2 linked regions of the Macaca fascicularis genome follow. The protein of the gene in region 2 purifies or fractionates together with the protein of the main gene of each other region. This does not show direct contact. Links are inferred from orthologs where the notes say so. Each region holds a gene or a part of one and is shown on either strand. Other genes may lie near its edges.

What was found.
Region 1: the proteins of CHAF1B (region 2) and CBX1 purify together in Homo sapiens (affinity purification with mass spectrometry; 4 studies listed by BioGRID and IntAct, with this or other methods). This does not show direct contact. The link is inferred for Macaca fascicularis from reciprocal best matches to the Homo sapiens genes CHAF1B and CBX1.

The regions. Positions count from the first base shown.
Region 1 is NC_088390.1:58,653,206-58,657,014, reverse strand, and holds part of CBX1 (chromobox protein homolog 1), read right to left. Parts: intron 849-3,809; coding exon 672-848; intron 1-671. UniProt on the Homo sapiens protein: Component of heterochromatin. Recognizes and binds histone H3 tails methylated at 'Lys-9', leading to epigenetic repression. Interaction with lamin B receptor (LBR) can contribute to the association of the heterochromatin with the inner nuclear membrane.
Region 2 is NC_088377.1:10,583,322-10,587,801, forward strand, and holds the start of CHAF1B (chromatin assembly factor 1 subunit B), read right to left. Parts: upstream 2,879-4,480; 5' UTR 2,819-2,878; intron 2,214-2,818; 5' UTR 2,140-2,213; coding exon 2,014-2,139; intron 698-2,013; coding exon 565-697; intron 1-564. UniProt on the Homo sapiens protein: Acts as a component of the histone chaperone complex chromatin assembly factor 1 (CAF-1), which assembles histone octamers onto DNA during replication and repair.

The sequences.
Region 1 (3,809 bases), on a different chromosome or scaffold from region 2:
GGGCACAGCAAGTCACACTTTCACTCAAAATAAGTATAATCATACTAAGGATAATCGTAAGAGGACAAGAGCTCAGACGTCCATGGAAAAGCTGAAATTTCTTGGGGAATGGGGAGGCTTTTTAGTATAAATAGAAAGCTAAGAAACTGGCTTCCTTCAAAGGCAAATGACTTTTATTTGTCAATTTAAATCGGTCTATAGCCACACACAATATTTCTCAGAAATCACTATGGGCTGGGTACAGTGGCTCACGCCTGTAGTCCCAACACTTTGGGAGGCCCAGGTGGGAGGACTGCTTGAGGCCAGGAGTTAGACAAACCTGGGCAACTAAGTGAGACATGGTGGTGCATGCCTGTGGTACTAGCTACTTAGGAGGCTGAGGTGGGAGGATACCTTGAGCCTGGGAGGTTGAGGCTGCAGCGAGCTATGACTGCACCACTGTACTCCAGCCTGGGTGACAGAGCGAGACCTTGTCTCAAAAGAAAGAACTTTAAAAAAGAAGTCATTCTGCTCTGTATTACAAGCAGTAGGCCATGTTCCTAATTAAACAATAAGCCATGAAGGTGGGGACTGAGTCACACAGTTTCCATCACAGCACTGGAGGTCTCATACATCTCTAGACTCCTGATAAACACCTGGTGGCTACATTTACTTGTGTCAGTGAAACTTACTCTGAGAACCCCTTCCACTTTAGGAGGTACTCCACTTTGCCCTTTACCACTCGACGGTCGAGAACTTTTTCCACCACATATTCCTCTTCCTCCTCTTCTAGCACCTCCTCCACTTTCTTCTTGTTTTGTTTTTTCCCCATAGTGCCCGCCAGCTTTCTGGTGTAAAGGGTGACGCTGCTGAAATGATAAATGAAATAAAAAGGGAATTAGGGAGCACTCTTATTGGTTAGATAATATCTGGATGGTAAGAAAACCAGAGACATGACAGGTGATAATATTATATGCTGCTTACAATAAGTGTGAGGCCTATTCTCACATTCGATACACAATAGTTTTCTGATATGTGCAGTCAGAAAGCTCATAAAAAAGCCCCAATTAATCTTACAGCGAAACTTTTTTTTGAGAGACGGAGTCTTGCTTTGTTGCACAGGCTGGAGTGCAGTGGCACAATCTCGGCTCACCGCAACCTCTGCCTTCTGGGTTCAAGTGATTCTCCTGCCTCAGCTTCCCAAGCAGCTGGGACTGCAGGCATGTGCCACCAAGCCCAGCTAATTTTTGTATTTGTTTTTTTTTAGTAGAGACGGGACTTCACTACATGTTGGCCAGGCTGGTCTCAAACTCCTGATCTCAGGTGATCCGCCTGCTTCGGCCTCCCAAAGTGTTGGAATTACAGGTGTGAGCCACTGCGCCTGGCCTTCACAGCAAACTTCTTTATTCTTGTGTATCCATTTACAACTTTTATACCCATTATTTGTCATTTAAAAAGGCTCCCAATACTCCTTTTACCATAAAGCATGGTAGCTAGGGCCACGCGTGCAGGCTCACATCTGCAATCCCAGCATTTTGGAAGGCCGAAGTGGGAGAATTCCTGGAGCCCAGGAGTGTGTGACCAGCCTAGGCAACATAGCAAGACCCCATCTCCACACACACAAAAAATCTGTAAAAGAGCATGGTAGCTAAAATATTGCATTAAACTCAAAGAAGGCCGGGCGCAGCGGCTCACACCTGTAATTCTAGCACTTTGGGAGGCGGAGGCGGGCAGATAGCCTGAGGTCAGGGGTTCAAGACCAGCCTGGCCAACATGGCAAGACCCTGTCCCTACTAAAAATACAAAAATTAGCCAGTCATGAGCCAGGATCGCATGACTGTACTCCAGCCTGGGCAACAGAGTGAGACTCCTGACCTCGTGATTCGCCTGCCCTGGCCTTCCAAAGTGCTGGGATTAGAGGCGTGAATGACCCTGCCCGGCCTTTTTTTTTTTTTTTTTTTCTTTTAAGACGGAGTCTCACGCCAGCCCAGGCTGGAGTGCAATGGCACAATCTCGGCTCACTGCAACCTCCGCCTCCTGGGTTCAAGTGATTCTCCTGCCTCAGCCTCATGAGTAGCTGGGACTACAGGTGTGAGCCACCATGCCCAGCTAATTTTTGTATTTTTAGTAAAGACAGGGTTTCACCACGTTGGTCAGGCTGCCAGGCTGGTCTTGAACTCCTGACTTCGTGATTCGCCCATGGTGGCCTCCCAAAGTGCTGGGATTACAGGCATGAGCCACCAAGCCCCGCCCCACCCCACCCCCCTTTTTTTGAGACGGAGTCTCACTCCAGCCAGGCTGGAGTGCAGTGGCACAGTCTTGGCTCACTGCAACCTCCGCCACCCGGGTTCAAGTGATTCTTCTGCCTCAGCCTTCTGAGTAGCTGGGACTACAGGTGTGTGCCACCATGCCCAGCTAGTTTTTGTATTTTTAGTAGAGACAGGGTTTTGCCATGTTGGCCAGGCTGGTCTCAAACTCCTGACTTCAAGTGATCCACCCATCACAGAATCCCAAAGTGCTGGGATTACAGGCATGAGCCACTGTGCCCAGCTGAGTTCTCTTGTTCTTTATGCACTCTTTTCTGAATTGAACTTACAATTCACAAATTTCTTGTTAACTTATTGTATTTAGTTTATTTAACAACTTTTCTTCTTTTTTGAGACAGTGTCTCTATCACCTAGGTTGGAATGCAGTGAAGTAATTATGGCTCACTGCAGCTTTGACCTCCTGGGCTCAAGTGATCCTCCTACCTCAGTCTCCTGAGTAGCTGGAACCACAGGTGTATGCCACCATGCCTGGCTAACTTTTTAAATTTTCAGTAAAGACAAGCTCTCACTATGTTGCCTAGGCTTGTTTCAAACTTCTAGGCTCAAGTGATCCTCCCGCCTCAGCCTCAAGTACTGGGATTACAGGCATGAATCATCACACCTGGCCTCCAATTTATTTCTAAAAACTAAGGAAGAGTCACAAAAATGCCAGAATGACCATGCAATTCTAAACTGGAACCCTGTAATAATCTGGAAAACAAGTGTGGGGAAAACAGAATTGTAGTTATCAAAGATAATAGAATCTGAGTTTACTCCTTTATAAAATACATCATCAAGCTGGGTAACATCTAAGAGTTTTTCCAGTGTTGAAATTTTAGTCCTTCATCTTATAAATCTTACAAATCTATTTAGTCCTTCATCCAAATTTCACTTTTTTGAGGGAGGGGGACAGAGTCTCCCTCTGTCACCCAGGCTGCAGTGTAATGGTGCTATCTCGGCTCACCTACGCCTCTAGGGTTCAAGCGATTCTCATGCCTCAGTCTCCTGAGTAGCTGGGACTACAGGTGCCCACCACCAGGCCCGGTTGATTTTTGTATATTTAGTAGAGATGGGGTTTCAGCATGTTGGCCAGGCTGGTCTCCAACTCCTGACCTCAAATGACCTGCCTGCTTCGGTTTCCCAAAATACTGGAATTAACAGGCATGCGCTACTGGACCCAACTCTGACTTCTCACAGACTTCAAGACTTAAAGATTACCAATTTCTGTCAGTAGATGGCGCTATATCAATGAAACAAAATTGATCAACAAAACTGGCCAAAGAATTACTTGGATGGCAGGTAATCCAAGACAAGGAAGAAAGAGTTACTTCTCTGCTTGAGTTTTCTAAATACTGTAAAACTGGCATGTACAGACAGACTGCATGTAGAAAGAGTCCATCTACAAGGCCGGGTGTGGTGGTTCACACCTGTAATCCCAGCACTTTGGGAGACCAAGGCAGGCAGATCACAAGGTCAGGAGTTCGAGACCAGCCTGGCCAACATGGTGAAACCCCATCTCTACTA
Region 2 (4,480 bases):
GAGCTAGCAGGAAAGCAGCTGTTTTCAAACAGGTGCTCCCAGTGTCATCTTGCTGTCCTCCCTCTCCGATTCTACCGCACTCCCTAGAACATTATTTTACTGAACTACCTAAATGACAGATTGAGAAGGTCGGCCATATCTGAAATAAAAAGCATATCCAGGCCAGGCCCGGTGGCTCATGCCTGTAATCCCAGCAATTTGGGAGGCCGAGGCAGGTGGATCACCTGAGGTCAGGAGTTCGAGATCAGCCTGGCCAACATGATGAAACCCCATCTCTACTAAAAATACAAAAAAAAAAAAAAAAAAAAATTAGCCGGGCGTGGTGGCAGGTGCCTATAATCCCAGCCACTTGGGAGGCTGAGGCAGGAGAATCGCCCGAACCCGGGAGGCGGAGGTTGCAGTGAGTCGAGATTGCACCACTGCACTCCAGCCTGGGGAATAAGAGCAACACTCTATCCCACCCCTCCTAAAAAAGCATATTCAGCTCAAATCTCACTATCTGACACGAGACACACAGGTATCTATCTGGTGCCTAAAGAATCTCTGAAGAACAGCAATACTCACCATCTCCTCCCGATGCTAAAATTTCCCCAGTTGGAGAAAAACGCACGACATTGACAGCTTTGGTATGACGAGCAAGATTGGACAAAAATTCCACGATGGCTTTTCCATCTGGTCCCTTTTCTACCTTCCAGATCTGTCAATACCAAAACATTCATTTGAAAAACATAGAATGGGCACATATTATACTGTTTGTATTAAAACAATACTATGGGCTGGGTGCGGTGGCTCACAACTGTAATCCTAGCAGTTTAGGAGGCCAAGGTGGGTAAATCACTTGAGGCCAGGAGTTCAAGACCAGCCTGGAAACATAGTGAGACCTGGTCTCTACAGAAAATTTTAAAAATTAGCCAAGTGTGATGACACATGCCTGTAGTTCCAGTTACCCGGGAGGCTGAGGTGGGAGGATCACTTGAGCCCTGGAGGTCAGGGCTGCAGTGAGCCGAGATCAGGCCACTGCATTCCAGCCTGGGCGACACAGTAAGACCCTGTCTCAAAAAAAAAAAAAAAAAAAAAAAAAACTATGCTTATTTTCAGAAAGAAATCCCCATCTAAAACATAAATGTCTACTGTTCCCCTCCGCCTTCTTTCTAGAGCAACTTGTTACCCAATAGGAACCAGGATCAGAATCCCAAAACAATGAACGTCCAGTTACAATAATCTAGGGAAAATGAATCAAATAAGAAAGCAGAGCCAGGGCATGGTGGCTCAGGCCTGTAATCCCAGCACTTTGGGAGGCCAAGGTGGGTGGATTACCTGAGGTCAGGAGTTCGAGCCCAGCCTGGCCAACATGGTGAAACCCCATCTCTACTTTATACAAAAATTAGCCGGGTGTGGTAATGAGTGGCTGTAGTCCCAGTTACTTGGGAGGCTGAGGCAAGAGAATAGCTTGAACCTGGGAGGCAGAGGTTGCAGTAAGTCGAGATTGCACCACTGCACTCCCGCCTGGGCAACAGAGCGAGACTCCATCTCAAAAAAAAAAAAAAAAAAAAAAAAAGCAGCTCTCTTTTGCTTTCATTGTTCACCGCAGGCCCTGGAAATTTAGCATTCTGGGCTAGATGACAGAGTAGTTTGAATTTGTTGACATATGTTCAATTCATTCATTCATTTACTTAAGAGAAGGGTCTGGCTGTGTCACCCAGGCTAGAGTGCAGTGGAGTGATGGTTGCTCGCTTCAAACTCCAAGGCTCAAGCGATCCTCTCACCTCAACCTCCCAAGTAGCTGGGCCTACAGCTGCACACCACCACGTCCTGCTACTTTTTCATTTCTGGCTATGTTGCCCAGGCTGGTCTCGAACTCCTGGACTTAAGTGATCCTCTTACCTCAGCCTCCCAAAGCACTGGGATTGCAGGCGTGAGCCACCGCGCCCAGCCGACATTGGTTTTAAATAAAAGAATGAAAACTATTGCTTCAAGCAGTGTTCCCAGATGGCTATCTCTGCCCCAGTTTACCCTGACAGCGGTGTCCACGCCCGCAGACGCTAGTCTGTGGATCCTCCCGGCCGCCCCATGCTGGAAGTCCAGGCTGTACACGGGCTCCTTGTTGTGCCAGGCTATTTCACAAGTGATGACTTTCATCCTCCCGAGTCTTGAAGGGGCAAAACGTTTCTCGGGCACCGTTCTACTTCAAGACGGAGGAAAGCTGCAAAATGCTGGTGATGGATTAAACAACAGTGTTAGCAGCAGCGAAGGGTTACTGAGCGCTGAATAGGGCAGGAGCCATTTAAAATGCACACTGCATTGGGAAAGGATGTTAACGTTGCCATCTGACAAGAACACCTTGCTAGCTCCACCTAAAATGCTTCGCTGGGTCCTGACATCCACAAGTTTATGATACGCCGCTACGTCCAGAAAAGCAAAACCAAACATCCAGGTAGAGGCTACCTAGGGGCCCCGGCCATCTGCACGGCCTGTCCCCGCTTAGTAGGGTCTAGGGGCGCGCCCTGAGAGCCCAGGTAGGGGCCCGCCCCGGGAGGGGCCTCCCGGAAGAGGGGGGCAAACGGGGTAGGGGACCGGGGCGGCGGGGCGAGAGCAGAACCCCGCCTTTCCCAGGGTCCGGGCGCTGGGCCCGGGAAGCTGGGACAGAGGCCGCCGGGAGGAGGCCGCGCGGGGCCGGGGGTGGACGGGGCCCCGCCGCCCGAACGCGCGCCGTCCGGAGCTATCCCGGGCCCCAGGCCCTGGGCGAGGGCCTCTGGCCCCAGATCGACCTGACCAAAAGAGCCGCGGAGCCGCCCGGGCCAGCCCCGGGAAGCCGTACCTGCAGGAACCCGGACGGTCAGAGGCGCCGTCACCTCCCGCGCAGCGCGCGCCGCTTCCCGCGCGCCGCAGGCCCCGCCCCCCGCATGGGTGGGACCTCATGGACGCCCCGCCCCTCAAGCGCCTCTCAGGTCCCGCCCGACGTGGGCGGCACCCCAGGGAAGCCCCGCCCCCTCCTAGGCGCCGAGGCGAGTCCCGGTCTGGCCCTGGGGTCGGAATCCGGGCCGGAATTTATTCCCGCCAGACCCACGACTGCAGGAAGAATGAATTCACTATTATTTATTATTATTATCCATTATTTATTCCTTGTTGATTCGTTCTTTTAGCAAACGTTTACAGAGCCTGGGCTGTGTGTTAGACCCTATGCTGGCGCTGTGCACTTGGGAGGGCGAACACGACCGGTTCTCCTGTCCCTTCTGCAAACAAAAACTGAGATCTCTGGGTTTCTATATTGGCTTCTAGAACATTTTGGAGAGTTCAAAGCTATGAAATTCTTCAGTACCTAGCGCAAGGTTGCTTACATTTTATTATTATAGTAGACGCAGTTATAAATCCTTTCTAAGAACAGACTCACATTTTAAAGTGAGGCGGTGAATTGATCGGTAGGCACAGATACCGCAGGCCTTTTGAAATGGGACGTTTCCAGATGAGACCTAATTTATCTGTGGGCTTCGCAGAAGGCCAGGAAACAAGTACCTCTGGATGCGCTGCTTTTACTGGATAAAAGAAACACACAGGTTTATCTGAGGAACCAACTGCTCTAGGATTTTTGGAAAAAAAGAACAGACATGGATTCTTATATAAATACTGGCAGATGCTTTTAGCCAGCTTTATGAAAGGTACAGATATTGCCTAAAAATCAGTGTCTCATGTTGATAAGAATGCTGTATGCTCCTTGAAGCCTGATTTCTACGGGAAGCTAGAATAACATAATCCGAATATGCCATTTTTAGATTTTTTTCTCTCCATACAGAGTTTGGACTGGGAATGACTATATACTTTAGATAATTTGGCTGTTATGAAAGTACAGACTCCTGGCCCCACCAGCCCCATGATTCCGAACATCCAGCAGAGGCCCCTGCTCCAGGAGCTTGCATTTTCATTCAGTCTGTTTTGGAAAGCTCGGGATTCTTCGTGTCTCTTCAACATCAAATTTCTCCAAATTTCTCATAAATGCTGTTCATTCACAAACAAATAATCTGCCCACCTCTTGAAGTGTCACGACGCTGAACGTGGATTTAAAAGATAAAAACACATGCTTTAAGTACTGAAAGTACACGAAGGAGTTGGCTTTCTTGGTGAACATTTTAGAGATCCAACTTCAGTGCCAACTTGATAAGCCAACACGGGCAGGGGATGCGGCTCCAGAGAGAGGCCCTGGGCTATCTCAAATATTTTCTCAAAAAAAAAAAGAAAGAGGCCGGGCGCGGTGGCACAAGCCTGTAATCCCAGCACTTTGGGAGGCCGAGACGGGCGGATCACGAGGTCAGGAGATCGAGACCATCCTGGCTAACACGGTGAAACCCCGTCTCTACTAAAAATACAAGAAAATTAGCCGGGCGAGGTGGCGAGCGCCTGTAGTCCCAGCTACTCGGGAGGCTGAGGCAGGAGAACGGCGTGAACCCAGGGGGGCGGAGCTTGCAGTGAGCCGAGATCGCGCCAC